Sus scrofa: one gene and its partners. The main gene of each other region encodes a partner of the protein of the gene in region 3 in a complex. Links are inferred from orthologs where the notes say so. Each region holds a gene or a part of one and is shown on either strand. Other genes may lie near its edges.

Region 1 (3,117 bases), on a different chromosome or scaffold from region 3:
CCACACTGCCCAAGAACACGGGTTCCCCCTTCCTAACCCTCAGGGATTGGCCTGGAGAGGGACACAGCCCCGGCTGAGACGGAGCCCGAGGCGCGCCTGGAGCCCGACGTGGGAGAGGACCGGGAGGACCTTGAATTTGGCCTGGACTGAGCCCACGGCGGCCCCGGCAGACACGGGTCTCCCCGGCTGGGCTCCCCTCCGCCAGGGAGCTGCTGGTCTCGAGTGCGCTGAGGCCTTGGCTCACTCCACCCGTGGGCGCGGCCTCCGCGGGTGTGGACAGCGTCACGCTCCCTGCCCCAAAGCCTACCAAACCCGGTTGTTTGCGGCTTAAACTGTGTAACTCTAGTGTCTCCCTTGAGCATCATAAACATTCTGGCATCCACGTGAGTCCCTGTTTTACTGGGTTACTGAATACACCTGCGAGTCACGCTAGACTCATTTCGGCAGCTACATCCCTCTTCACGAGTGATCGGAAACCCAGGTCGCGCCCCGAGTCCTGTGTCACTTCCAGGGCTGAGGCATCGGACCCTAAAACCACGTGAGATGCAGCCCGAGAAACATGACCGTGCAAAACGGCTCAGCCGACAAGTTTATTCAACCCCTAAACGGGGTCCAAAGTGCCTCCCCTACAAAACATCGGATTGTGACAGAAACTTCCTCACACACACGCAGGAGCACCAGCAGCTCCGTGGCAGCTCCTTTCACCATCACCCACCACGCAGGAGCCTGCACGGGCACCCCAATGGCACAGCGGCCGCGTGCAGCGGAGCCCTCGGCTGCCGGAGGCCCTGCTCTCCAGCCCAACACTGTGGTGGGAGGGGGTCCCGGCGCTGCTGACCTTCAGGCCGGCCTGGAGCGGGAGCTACAGGGGAAATGACCGGTTGTCGTCCTTCCTTCCACGTGGCTCCTCCTCGCTTCTGCCGCCTATGGTCTCAAAGGCCTTCAGGAAGCAGGAGGCGCTGCACCCTGGAGACTGCTCTCCATTTCCCGTTTCAACCACCAAAGGCACAGCGGGTTGGGGCGAGGGGCTCTCAGGTGGGCGTCTCAGGTGGGCGGCGTGTCCGGCCTCAGAAACCCATGCGGGGCTTCTTCCGCTGTGGCTGAGAGCCGGAGGGGACAGCTGCCGGCTGTCGGGGAGTGGCCCGGATGCTGGAGGCCTGGGATGAGGACACGGTGGCACCCCTGGGAGTGTCCCCTCGGAGCGGCAGCCTGACTGAGCAGTCCCGGAGGGCCTGCTTCCTGGAGGGGGTGGCCCGGATGCTGGAGGTCTGGGAGGAGGGGACAGAGGCCCCCCCTGGGGTGTCCCCTCGGAGCGGCAGCTCAGCCATGTAGTCGCGAAGGGTCTGCTGCCGCTCCGAGGGGACACCGTGGGCCCATGGCTCCTGGGTCAAGTCCTGGGAGGGCGGGGTCACTGGGGGCTGAGGCCGGGCCTCAGCAGGTGTCCAGTCTGGGCTGGGAGGGGGACTGGGGGCATCCGAGAGATCCAGGCGGCCGCTGAGTGAGGAGAAGGTGCTGGACAGCTGAGTCCGGCGCTTGGGCCGCTTGGGCTGTTTCCCGGGCCCCGAGCTGGGGCCCTGCCGTCTCTGCCACCAGGCTGCCACCCGGCCTTCCCAGGCTGCCTCCAGACGCTCGCTGAGCTCATCCCCGGGGCCGGGCTCAGGGGCGGGGGGCCGCTCCTCAGTGGGGGGCAGGCCCAGGTCCCTCCGCCGCAGGAGCCGCCCCTGGGCCATGGCCGCACGCAGGCCCTCGGGCAGCTTCCTGTCAAGCTGCTGTCGCTCAAAGCAGCGCAGCAGGCGGCGGTGGGAGAAGGTGGGTGCGGCCCACACAGGGGCAGCCGGGGGCACCTCCAGCAGGGCCTCCAGCCACCGCCTGCAGCGGGCAGTGGCCTGGGGGGTCCAGGAGGCTGTGGAGGCAGTGGAGTCGGGCCCGGGGTCTGCCTGGAGGTGGAGGTGCTGGTAGAAGACGTCTCCCGCTGCTGAAAGTTGGAAGAGTGACAGGGTCGACGGGGAGGCAGAGGGCGGGATGGTGGCGGCCAGACCTGGAGACAGAATGACAGTGACCCCACGGCCTGGCGGCTGTGAGGCTCTCCAGTCCCACTCTGTCGCCCCAGCGCACCTATGGTGGGCGCCTTCAGACGCTCCTGCAGCCGCTTCTGCCTCCTGGGCTCCAGCAGGGGGAAGGCAGAGAGGGAGTCGCTCCTGGAAGGGAGGGACTGGGGGGGCCCGGCCAGCCGGGCTGTGGAGGCCCCCTCTCCTGGAGGAAAGACAGACGGCTGAGGTCCTGCCCAGGCCCAGCCCCGCCCGCTCCCGCCCCCACCGGCGCCTGGCCCCTCACCTGCCAGCTGCAGCAGCTGCAGCTCCCCGGCCTGGCCCGCCAGGAGCAGCGGCCGCGGGCAGCCGGGGCGGGGTGGGGGCAGCAGCCGGGCCAGCAGGGGAGCGGAGGGCAGGCCGTGGTTCCACTTGAACAGGGGCACCAGGGGGAGGCGCTCATCCACCAGGTAGAGGGAGAACTGGGGGCCCGGAAAGAAGACGCGGGGGAGGTGACTGGGGCATGGGGGGGTCTCCCCGGGTGGCCCCATGGCCCTCCCCAGGACCCCACATGGCTCTGAGGGGTCACAGAACTCCCGGCCCAGCCCCTTCTCTGGCTCCACCTGTCCAGCCCTGCTCGGGAGGCCTTTCCAGAGCAGGCGGTGCTGGGAGAAGGGTCTCAGGAGAGGCTTTTCCCCACCTTTCCAGAGCTCACCCACCCTGGACCCATGGTTGAGACACACCACTAACCCCAGGGTCCTCGGGCGGCTTGGCAGGGGCGCTGTTCCTCTTTAGCTGACATGCAGGGGGGTCGTCCAGCTTTGGCCCCCACCCCCACCCACCCCCTGCAGTTGTCCTGGACCGTCTCCAGCGACACGTGAGACAGTGCAGGACGGAGGAGAAGGCCCCACTCACCTGGGTGCAGACGAGGTGTAGTGTGGCGAACAGGGACTCGGGACTGCACCCCCCCAGGTACTGGGTGAGCAGCACACGTTCCCCCTTCTGGCACGAGGCTTCGGCCCCTCCGCGGAAAAGCAGCAGACCGCAGCCCGGTGGGCCCTGGGGAGCCGCACAGGTCAGGCTCCCATGG
Region 2 (3,748 bases), on a different chromosome or scaffold from region 3:
AAAAATCTATCCAGAAACAGCATAAAGAGAAAAGAGATGGAAAATATGGGAGACAGGGTGAGAGAAATGGAGGATAGAAGATAAGGCCTAATAAAGAGCTAATCAGTTAGAACTCTAAGAATATGAGAACTGAGCATATGAGGGAAATATTCAGTGTGATAACAGCTGATAATTTTCCAAGGTTGATGGGGGAAAAAAGGTCAACCCTCACTGTTGGAAGGCCCAACACATCCCAAACAGGATAAATAAAAGAAAGCCACATCTTGATAGATTGTAGTGAAATTGAAGGACACCAAAGACAAAGAGGAATTCTTAAAACTATGTTTTAAAGAACCCATGTTCTGGGAGTTCTCGTCGTGGTGCAGTGGTTAACGAATCCGACTAGAAACCATGAGGTTGTGGGTTCGATCCCTGGCTGCTCGGTGGGTTAAGGATCTGGCATTGCTGTGAGCTGTGGTGTAGGTTGCAGTCTTGGCTCGGATCCCACATTGCTGTGGCTGTGGCGTCGGCCAGCGGCTGCAGCTCTGATTAGACCCTAGCCTGAGAACCTCCATATGCCTCGGGAAGCGGCCCTAGAAAAGGCAAAAAGACAAAAAAAAATAAAGAAATAAAAATAAAGAACCCATGTTTTTTAAATCATCCATGACTGACTCTCACCAAAGTAAAACTACCTTGAGGGCAGTGGAGGAGTCCAACATAACACACTGATCACAAACCAATACTCATTTCCTTTTAACTATTGTAAAAGGTTTAATTCACTGGGTATAAAAAGATAGGAAAAGAGTAATTATTTAAAATTTAAAAAGACCACAGAACTTCCCATCGTGGCACAGCAGCACAAGCAAATCCGACTAGGAACCATGTGGTTCAATCCCTGGCCTCACTCAGTGGGTTAAGGCTCTGGCATTGTTGTGAGCTGCGGTGTAAGTTGTGGACGCAGCTGGGATCCGGTGTTGCTGTGATCTGGCGTTGCTGTTGCTGTGGTGAGGCCAGAGGCTACAGCTCGGATGTGACCCCTAGCCTGGGAATCTCCATATGCCACGGGGTGCAGCCCTAAGAAGGAAGGAAGGAAGGAAGGAGGGAGGGAAGGAAGGAAGGAAAGAAGGAAGGAAGGAAGAAAGAAAGAAAGAGAGAGAGAGAGAGAAAGAAAGAAAGAAAGGAAGGAAGAAAGAAAGAAAGGATGGAAGGAAGGAAGAAAACGATCACAAACCTATTACTTGAACTGTACAGAAATGAAGGATGCGACCAGTCCAAAAAGTACAAAAATTAAACCACTGGATTTAAATTAAATCACGGGATTTTGGCAGCAAAGAGACCCAGAAGGGGCAGAATGGAGGGAAAGGATACGCACTTGCAGTTGGTACAGGTGTAGAAGACAGTCTGCCCTTCATCGGCTGAGCGCATCTGTCTGGTGTGGTATGCCATTCCCTCATGACCACAACGAGGACAGCGCCTGTCAACCTGGGAAGCAACTGGTAGGTTAATAATTCCCACTACTTCTCACAGACATCAAGCTACCACACTCCTCAGATACTGCTGGTTTTTGTTTTGCTGCACCTGCAGTACGTGTAAGTTTCCAGGCCGAGGATCGAACCCGTGCCACAGAAGCGACCTAAACCGCTGTAGTGACAATGCCGGCCAGATCCTTAACACCCGGCTGCACCACAAGAAAACTCTCCCCAGTCACTACTGTTTTAAAGACTCTTCTTCCCTGTTGTGTACAAAACTCTCCAGATCTGAGCCCTCCGTTTCGTTCCCACCCTCTTTACAGGGCCAGTCCTCGACGTGATTCACTTACCACGGGTCCCTGGAACTCAGGTCCTTCCTCCATCGACATAGGCATGGCTGTCCCCACTTTCTGGAACACAACTGAGGTCTTCACAACCTTCCCCTCAAAGTCTGCGCGGGCAGTAAGAATTGGTTGTGGAGACAGCGGAGGGGGCTGACACCACACTAATCCCTCTCTGTTAGGCCAGGAAGCTATATTCTACCCATCAGGTTTCGTGCCGACCAAAAGTATAAGTGCCTGATCCTGCGCTTTCGGGTCCCCGTCTTTAATCCAATCGATCTTGAGATCCCCATGGGCCCTCCTCCGCCCCAGCCGCGGCGTAGCAGCACCTCACCCCGCACGTTGATGGAGAAGCCACAGCGAGTACAAATGACCGCATCCTGAGTCCCGGGCAGAGGCAGGACCGAGCCGCAATCCGGACAGAAATCCAAGTCCGACTGAAAGCTAGAGGATGTGCGGGCGAGGTCCATGACAGACGGGTGGTCGAGGGCTGGGAAGGGGATGAGGAGTTTATTAAGAGAGTAGCCCCTTCCCCAGAGAGGTCATGCCTATTCTGTCCCTGGACGTAAGCATGCAGAACCCGAGATTTCTTCCTACGCATACCTTGTGCCTCTGTGACTAAGGAGCCCAAACTTCCGGAATCCCTATCCCGCGTCGGGTACAACTACGCTGGGGGTCTTTCCTGGGGCAGGCGAGAGGAGCAAGTCAACTTCACGGGCTAGAGCGCCGGCTCCGCGCGGGCAACCGAGCAGCGAGCGCGTGGCGGGCTAGAGAGTCCACGCGTCCCGGCTCTCGATTGGCTGTGACGTCATAATTAATTGCAACTGTGATCCCGAGAGCCTGGAGAGGGAGAGGAGCGGTTCTGAAGGAAGATTGTGGCGCCCCCTTCAGCCTGGTTCTGTTACGTTGGATACGAAAATAGGTGACGAAGCTGCGCCTGCCTCAGGTTATTTTTTCCCTTCAGGACTCAGTCCTGGGATGTTTATTTTATTGGTCTCGAATTTTACCAGGACCCAGTCGCGGGGAGCGTTTCTCCTGAGAAGTCGGACCAACCTTATAGAGTACTAATTTATTTATTTGGACTGGAGAACTGCAAACTCCAGCGGTTCCTGAATCTGCACTTCACTGTGGCGGTTGGACAGTGGTAGAAAACAAAGCGAAATATTCTGGGAGTAATTCTAGCATTCTTTGGGCCTTGCGACCCAAGCAAGGGCTCTCTGCAGGACCCGGTATGGCTCATGTGCTTTGGTGGCTGTTGCCTTGTCTATAGTGTAGATCACAGTTGCAGCTTTGATTCAGACCCTAGCTTGGGAACTTCCATATACCACAGGTGCAGCCTTAAAAAGAAAAAAGAGAGAGATCATGGTATTTGTAGATTAAAAATCATAGTTCCCACTCTTTATATGTTTAAATTTCAGCATCAAAATGTTTTTTGTATTTTGAGTTCATGTTGTGGCACAGCAGAAACAAATCCGACTAGAAACGATGAGGTTGTGGGTTCGATCTCTGGCCTCGCTCAGTGGGTTAACGATCTGGCTTTGCTGTTGCTTGAGCTATGTTTCGTTTTGTTCTTTTGTTTTTCCTTTTGTTTGTTTGTTTGTTTGTTTGTTTTGTTTTGTTTTTTGTTTTTGCTTTTTTTTGCTTTTTAGGGCTGCACTTACAGGATATGAAGGTTCCCAGGCTAGGGGTTGAATCAGAGCTACAGCTGCCCACCTATGGCACAGCCACAGCAACATAGGATCTGAGCCATGTCTGTGACCTACACCACAGCTCAGGGCAAGGCCAGATCCTTAACCCACTAATCGAGGCCAGGGATCAAACCCGCAACCTCATGGTTCTTAGTTGGATTTGTTTCTGCTGCACCACAACAGGAACTCCCATGACTGATTTTCAAATAAATTGTAGAAGTTATATTTTTTACTTCTATTTTTTACTTTGTATTCATCGGAAGGCAAAAAT
Region 3 (3,748 bases):
AAATTAACTAGTATTTAGATTATTTAGTATATGCCTATGTACCGGCATATTGGTCCATAACAATGCTAATCAAGCTTTTTTTTCCCCTGCCTTTTTAGGGCCGCACATGCAGCATATGGAAAGTCCCAGGCTAGGAGTCGAATGGGGGCTGTAGCTGCCGGCCTACATACATACCAGCCTCAGCAACTCAGGATCCCAGTAGCATCTTCGACCTACACCATAGCTCATGGCAATGCCAGATCCTTAACACACTGAGCAGGGCCAAGGATCAAACCTGCGTCCCTATGGATGCCAGTCAGATTCGTGTCCGCTGAGCCACGATGGCAACTCCATGCTTATTTTTTCACTAAGTAATCCAAGTTTTACCATTTTTTAACAGCTAGTCTTTGACTATCAACCCAAGCATTATTCTCCACTTCCTCCTACCTCATATTTAGAAAACACAGTTAAAAGGATACATCTTTTAGTTCTTTTCTTGTACATTATTCTGTACCCACATTCTCTGCATCGGATGGGATCCCTTGATTTTATTTCATTTTCTGTGTGACATTCTAAAAGAGAAAACATATTTATTCAATGCCTAAAAGAGAAATAAGAGGCAAGCAAATTATCTTAATTATACTTTTCCCCCAAAGCACTAAAATATGTATACTAAATCTCAACATTATCAACATATTAAGGGAAAAGAAAGAAAAGAGTGGTGGGCAACGCACTTTTTCTAGGAGAGAAAATGAAATCTTAAAATAGTTGCTAAAGCGCTAACTTCAAAGAGGAAGGACTCAAGTAAAATAAAGATAAATGCACTATCTTTTTAAAAAACTGAGGTAAAATACTTTTATTTTATGTAAGTGCCACTCTTACCTCCACAGATATATATCATTGGCTGCTGTTTTGGGGGTTGAACGTCCTTCTGTGTGTCCATCGTTATCCCTGAAATCACAGATTCAAATACTGAACATCTTAAAGGGGCCCCTCACAAATCCAATCATGCCTTATTTTTCTCAGGGAAAGCTAAAAAGCTAAAAAGTTCCCAATTCCTAATCCGTACTTTTTAAAAATCCTACCGCTGGTTCTAAAGAATGAATCAAACCCACAAATAAGCATTTTGCATTTACCCCCAAACTGGACTCCATAAACACTTTACAGATTTCATATTTACACATGCTATTTCATTATAATCTCTACAACAATTCTAGGCGGTTAAATAATTACTCTTAATGAACAGATCAAGAAACTAAGATTTAGGGAAGGTTAATTTGGTCAGGATTATTCAGTAGTTAAAAGGCAGAGGAATTTAGATCTGACTGCGAAGCTCTGGTTTTCATTTAACACGAGTACAAGTACTATTTTTCTTTTTCTTTCTTTTTCTTTTTTTTTGTCTTTTTGCTATTTCTTTGGGCCGCTCCCACGGCATATGGAGGTTCCCAGGCTAGGGGTCGAATAGGAGCTGTTGCCACTGGCCTACGCCAGAACCACAGCAACGTGGGATCCGAGCCGCGTCTGCAGCCTACACCACAGCTCACGGCAACGCCGGATCATTAACCCTGCCCTGAGCCAAGGGCAGGGACCGAACCCGCAACCTCATGGTTCCTAGTCGGATTCGTTAACCACTGCGCCACGACGGGAACTCCAATTTTTCTTTTTCTTTCTCTCTCTCTCTTTTTTTTTTTTCCACCCGCGGCATGTGGAAGTTCCAGGCTAGGGGGTCCAATAGGCCTGACAGCCACAGCAACGCGGGATCCGAGCCCCGTCTGCTATCTATACCACAGCTCAAGGCAACGCTGGGTCGTTAACCCACAGAGCGAGGCCAGGGATGGAATCCGCATCCTCAAGGATACTCATCTGATTCAGTTCCGCTGCGCCACAAGGGGAACTCCCACAAGTGAAATTTTCCCAAAATTTAGCAAGAAATTGCCAAAAAACTATACCCCTCAACAGGAAAACATGCGAACCGAAGAAAAGGGAAAAATAATGAAATAACTCCTAACAGCTGAAAAGGCAGACAACCCAACAGCTAAACAAGCCAAAGGGCTAACAGCATCGACTCCATCCCCAGCCTCTCTCGACTCTAATCCCACACCGGACCTCCTGTAACCCCTAGTATCTTTCCAGTTTTGGCCCAAACACTCACCTTCCAATCCCAAACCGCCAATCCGCCAAACCCCTACCCACGGAACACGGAGAAACTTCCCGAGGCTCCCTAACAGATTCCTGAGGCCGCTGTGTGTCAGCCCACTTCCGGCACTGGCAGATGACGCAGGATGTAGTCTCCGCCCCTTCCGCCCAAGGAGTGGCCGAAGAACCCGGATTGAGCGCGGGCAGTTAAATTGGAATTATGTATGTTTGATTCGCTCTGTAGAGGTTCTTATTTGGCTCCCAACTATTTTCATTTTTCGGGGAGGCAAAGAATTTTAGCAGTTTCTCAGGTCGAAGGAGGTTTGTTTCTATGACAAATGAAGGCCGCAGAAAGTAACAGTTTTCCAAGAGGTCAGAGCGTTAGATACCCAAGTGAAGTGCTCATGGAATCCCTGGGCTGACCGTTACTCCAAAGAACGTGGAAGTATCGGTTTCACCGCTGATTTCCACGTAGAAGAGCAGTTTTCAGATTATGGATTTCAGATCGTTTTAATACCTGTGCCGCCGGCAGTGGAACAGCCGCCTCCTGCCCTTTGCATAATGTTTGCTTTTCGACCCTTTCTCACTTAGGTACCTGTCATCCTTCTCAGCCTCTCCTTTTACTCGTTTTAAAGCACAGGCGGACTTGCAGGCAGCTACATCCAACTACTGCCACTTAAAGCTGAGGGATTTAGGTAGTGGTGGCTGTTTACCGACCCTCCTTTGGTCCCATGTATTCTCTAGAAGAACAAAACGACCTGCTCAGTGGAATCCTTTCAAAGATCAAACTATTAGTGAGACATTATCGTTGGATGTACACATTTACATTCGTTTGCTTCTTTCATAGCAGGCATTTTACTAATATCAGAATGAGAGGAAGAAAATGAAGTTGTTACAATTTAGAAAATACATATTCGTTATCTATTACAGTTAATTGGAGAAGCAGGTTTCTTTCTTCCCAACATGCATTATTTTGGTTTCTTATTAAGCAGGCAATACTGCTCTCTGGTCTTCCATACGGAAACTTGGGAACTTTGAGCTTCGCATTACACTTCCAGGAGGAGTTCCAACTGCCGGCACCTCCACAGACCAACTTGAGAGATTTAACTCAATCTTCCCAGTCTTCTTAGCTCCCTGTTGTAAAAATTTCAGGAAACACAGTGGAGTGTCCTGCTTCTTCCTCCACAGACAGGCTAAGACAGAACATACAAGTATTTTGACCATCTTAAAAAATATCTCTCCTGTCAGCCAAAGGGAAGAGGTAACCCAAAAGAAGAATCAAAATAAGCTTTGCTCCAAGAAGTATTAGATAAAACCATTGTTATCATAAGAGAAAGATTATGGAGTGATCCAAAAAGTATAACTTTAATCATTGCAAGCTGACCTGGATTCCAACTCTCAAGCTTGAGATTTCAAGAAGATGCTGGCACTTAATGCAGTCTATGGAGATCAGGAGGAATTAACACATGCAGAATACAAACGGCTCCTGGGACCCTACAGAGGGGTAGAGTAAAGACAAGTTGTAGCAAGGAGATCCAGAATTTCAACAAGAGTTCATGTTGGGGCTAGATCCCAATCCAACACTCTTGTTCCTATGAGTAGGAACAGTAATTTTAGCATCATGTGGAGCATG

The links.
Region 1: POLR2K (region 3) and TAF1C share a complex: the UniProt entries of both Homo sapiens proteins name them as parts of the pol I pre-initiation complex. The link is inferred for Sus scrofa from reciprocal best matches to the Homo sapiens genes POLR2K and TAF1C.
Region 2: POLR2K (region 3) and ZNRD1 share a complex: the UniProt entries of both Homo sapiens proteins name them as parts of the pol I pre-initiation complex. The link is inferred for Sus scrofa from reciprocal best matches to the Homo sapiens genes POLR2K and POLR1H.

The regions. Positions count from the first base shown.
Region 1 is NC_010448.4:4,454,553-4,457,669, reverse strand, and holds the end of TAF1C (TATA box-binding protein-associated factor RNA polymerase I subunit C), read right to left. Parts: intron 3,087-3,117; coding exon 2,943-3,086; intron 2,510-2,942; coding exon 2,335-2,509; intron 2,254-2,334; coding exon 2,116-2,253; intron 2,039-2,115; coding exon 1,068-2,038; 3' UTR 561-1,067; downstream 1-560. UniProt on the Homo sapiens protein: Component of the transcription factor SL1/TIF-IB complex, which is involved in the assembly of the PIC (pre-initiation complex) during RNA polymerase I-dependent transcription.
Region 2 is NC_010449.5:22,625,648-22,629,395, reverse strand, and holds the start of ZNRD1 (DNA-directed RNA polymerase I subunit RPA12), read right to left. Parts: upstream 2,526-3,748; 5' UTR 2,393-2,525; intron 2,280-2,392; 5' UTR 2,260-2,279; coding exon 2,124-2,259; intron 1,900-2,123; coding exon 1,799-1,899; intron 1,462-1,798; coding exon 1,352-1,461; intron 1-1,351. UniProt on the Homo sapiens protein: Core component of RNA polymerase I (Pol I), a DNA-dependent RNA polymerase which synthesizes ribosomal RNA precursors using the four ribonucleoside triphosphates as substrates. Can mediate Pol I proofreading of the nascent RNA transcript.
Region 3 is NC_010446.5:36,850,351-36,854,098, forward strand, and holds the start of POLR2K (DNA-directed RNA polymerases I, II, and III subunit RPABC4), read right to left. Parts: upstream 2,273-3,748; 5' UTR 2,132-2,272; intron 931-2,131; 5' UTR 923-930; coding exon 862-922; intron 552-861; coding exon 459-551; intron 1-458. UniProt on the Homo sapiens protein: DNA-dependent RNA polymerase catalyzes the transcription of DNA into RNA using the four ribonucleoside triphosphates as substrates.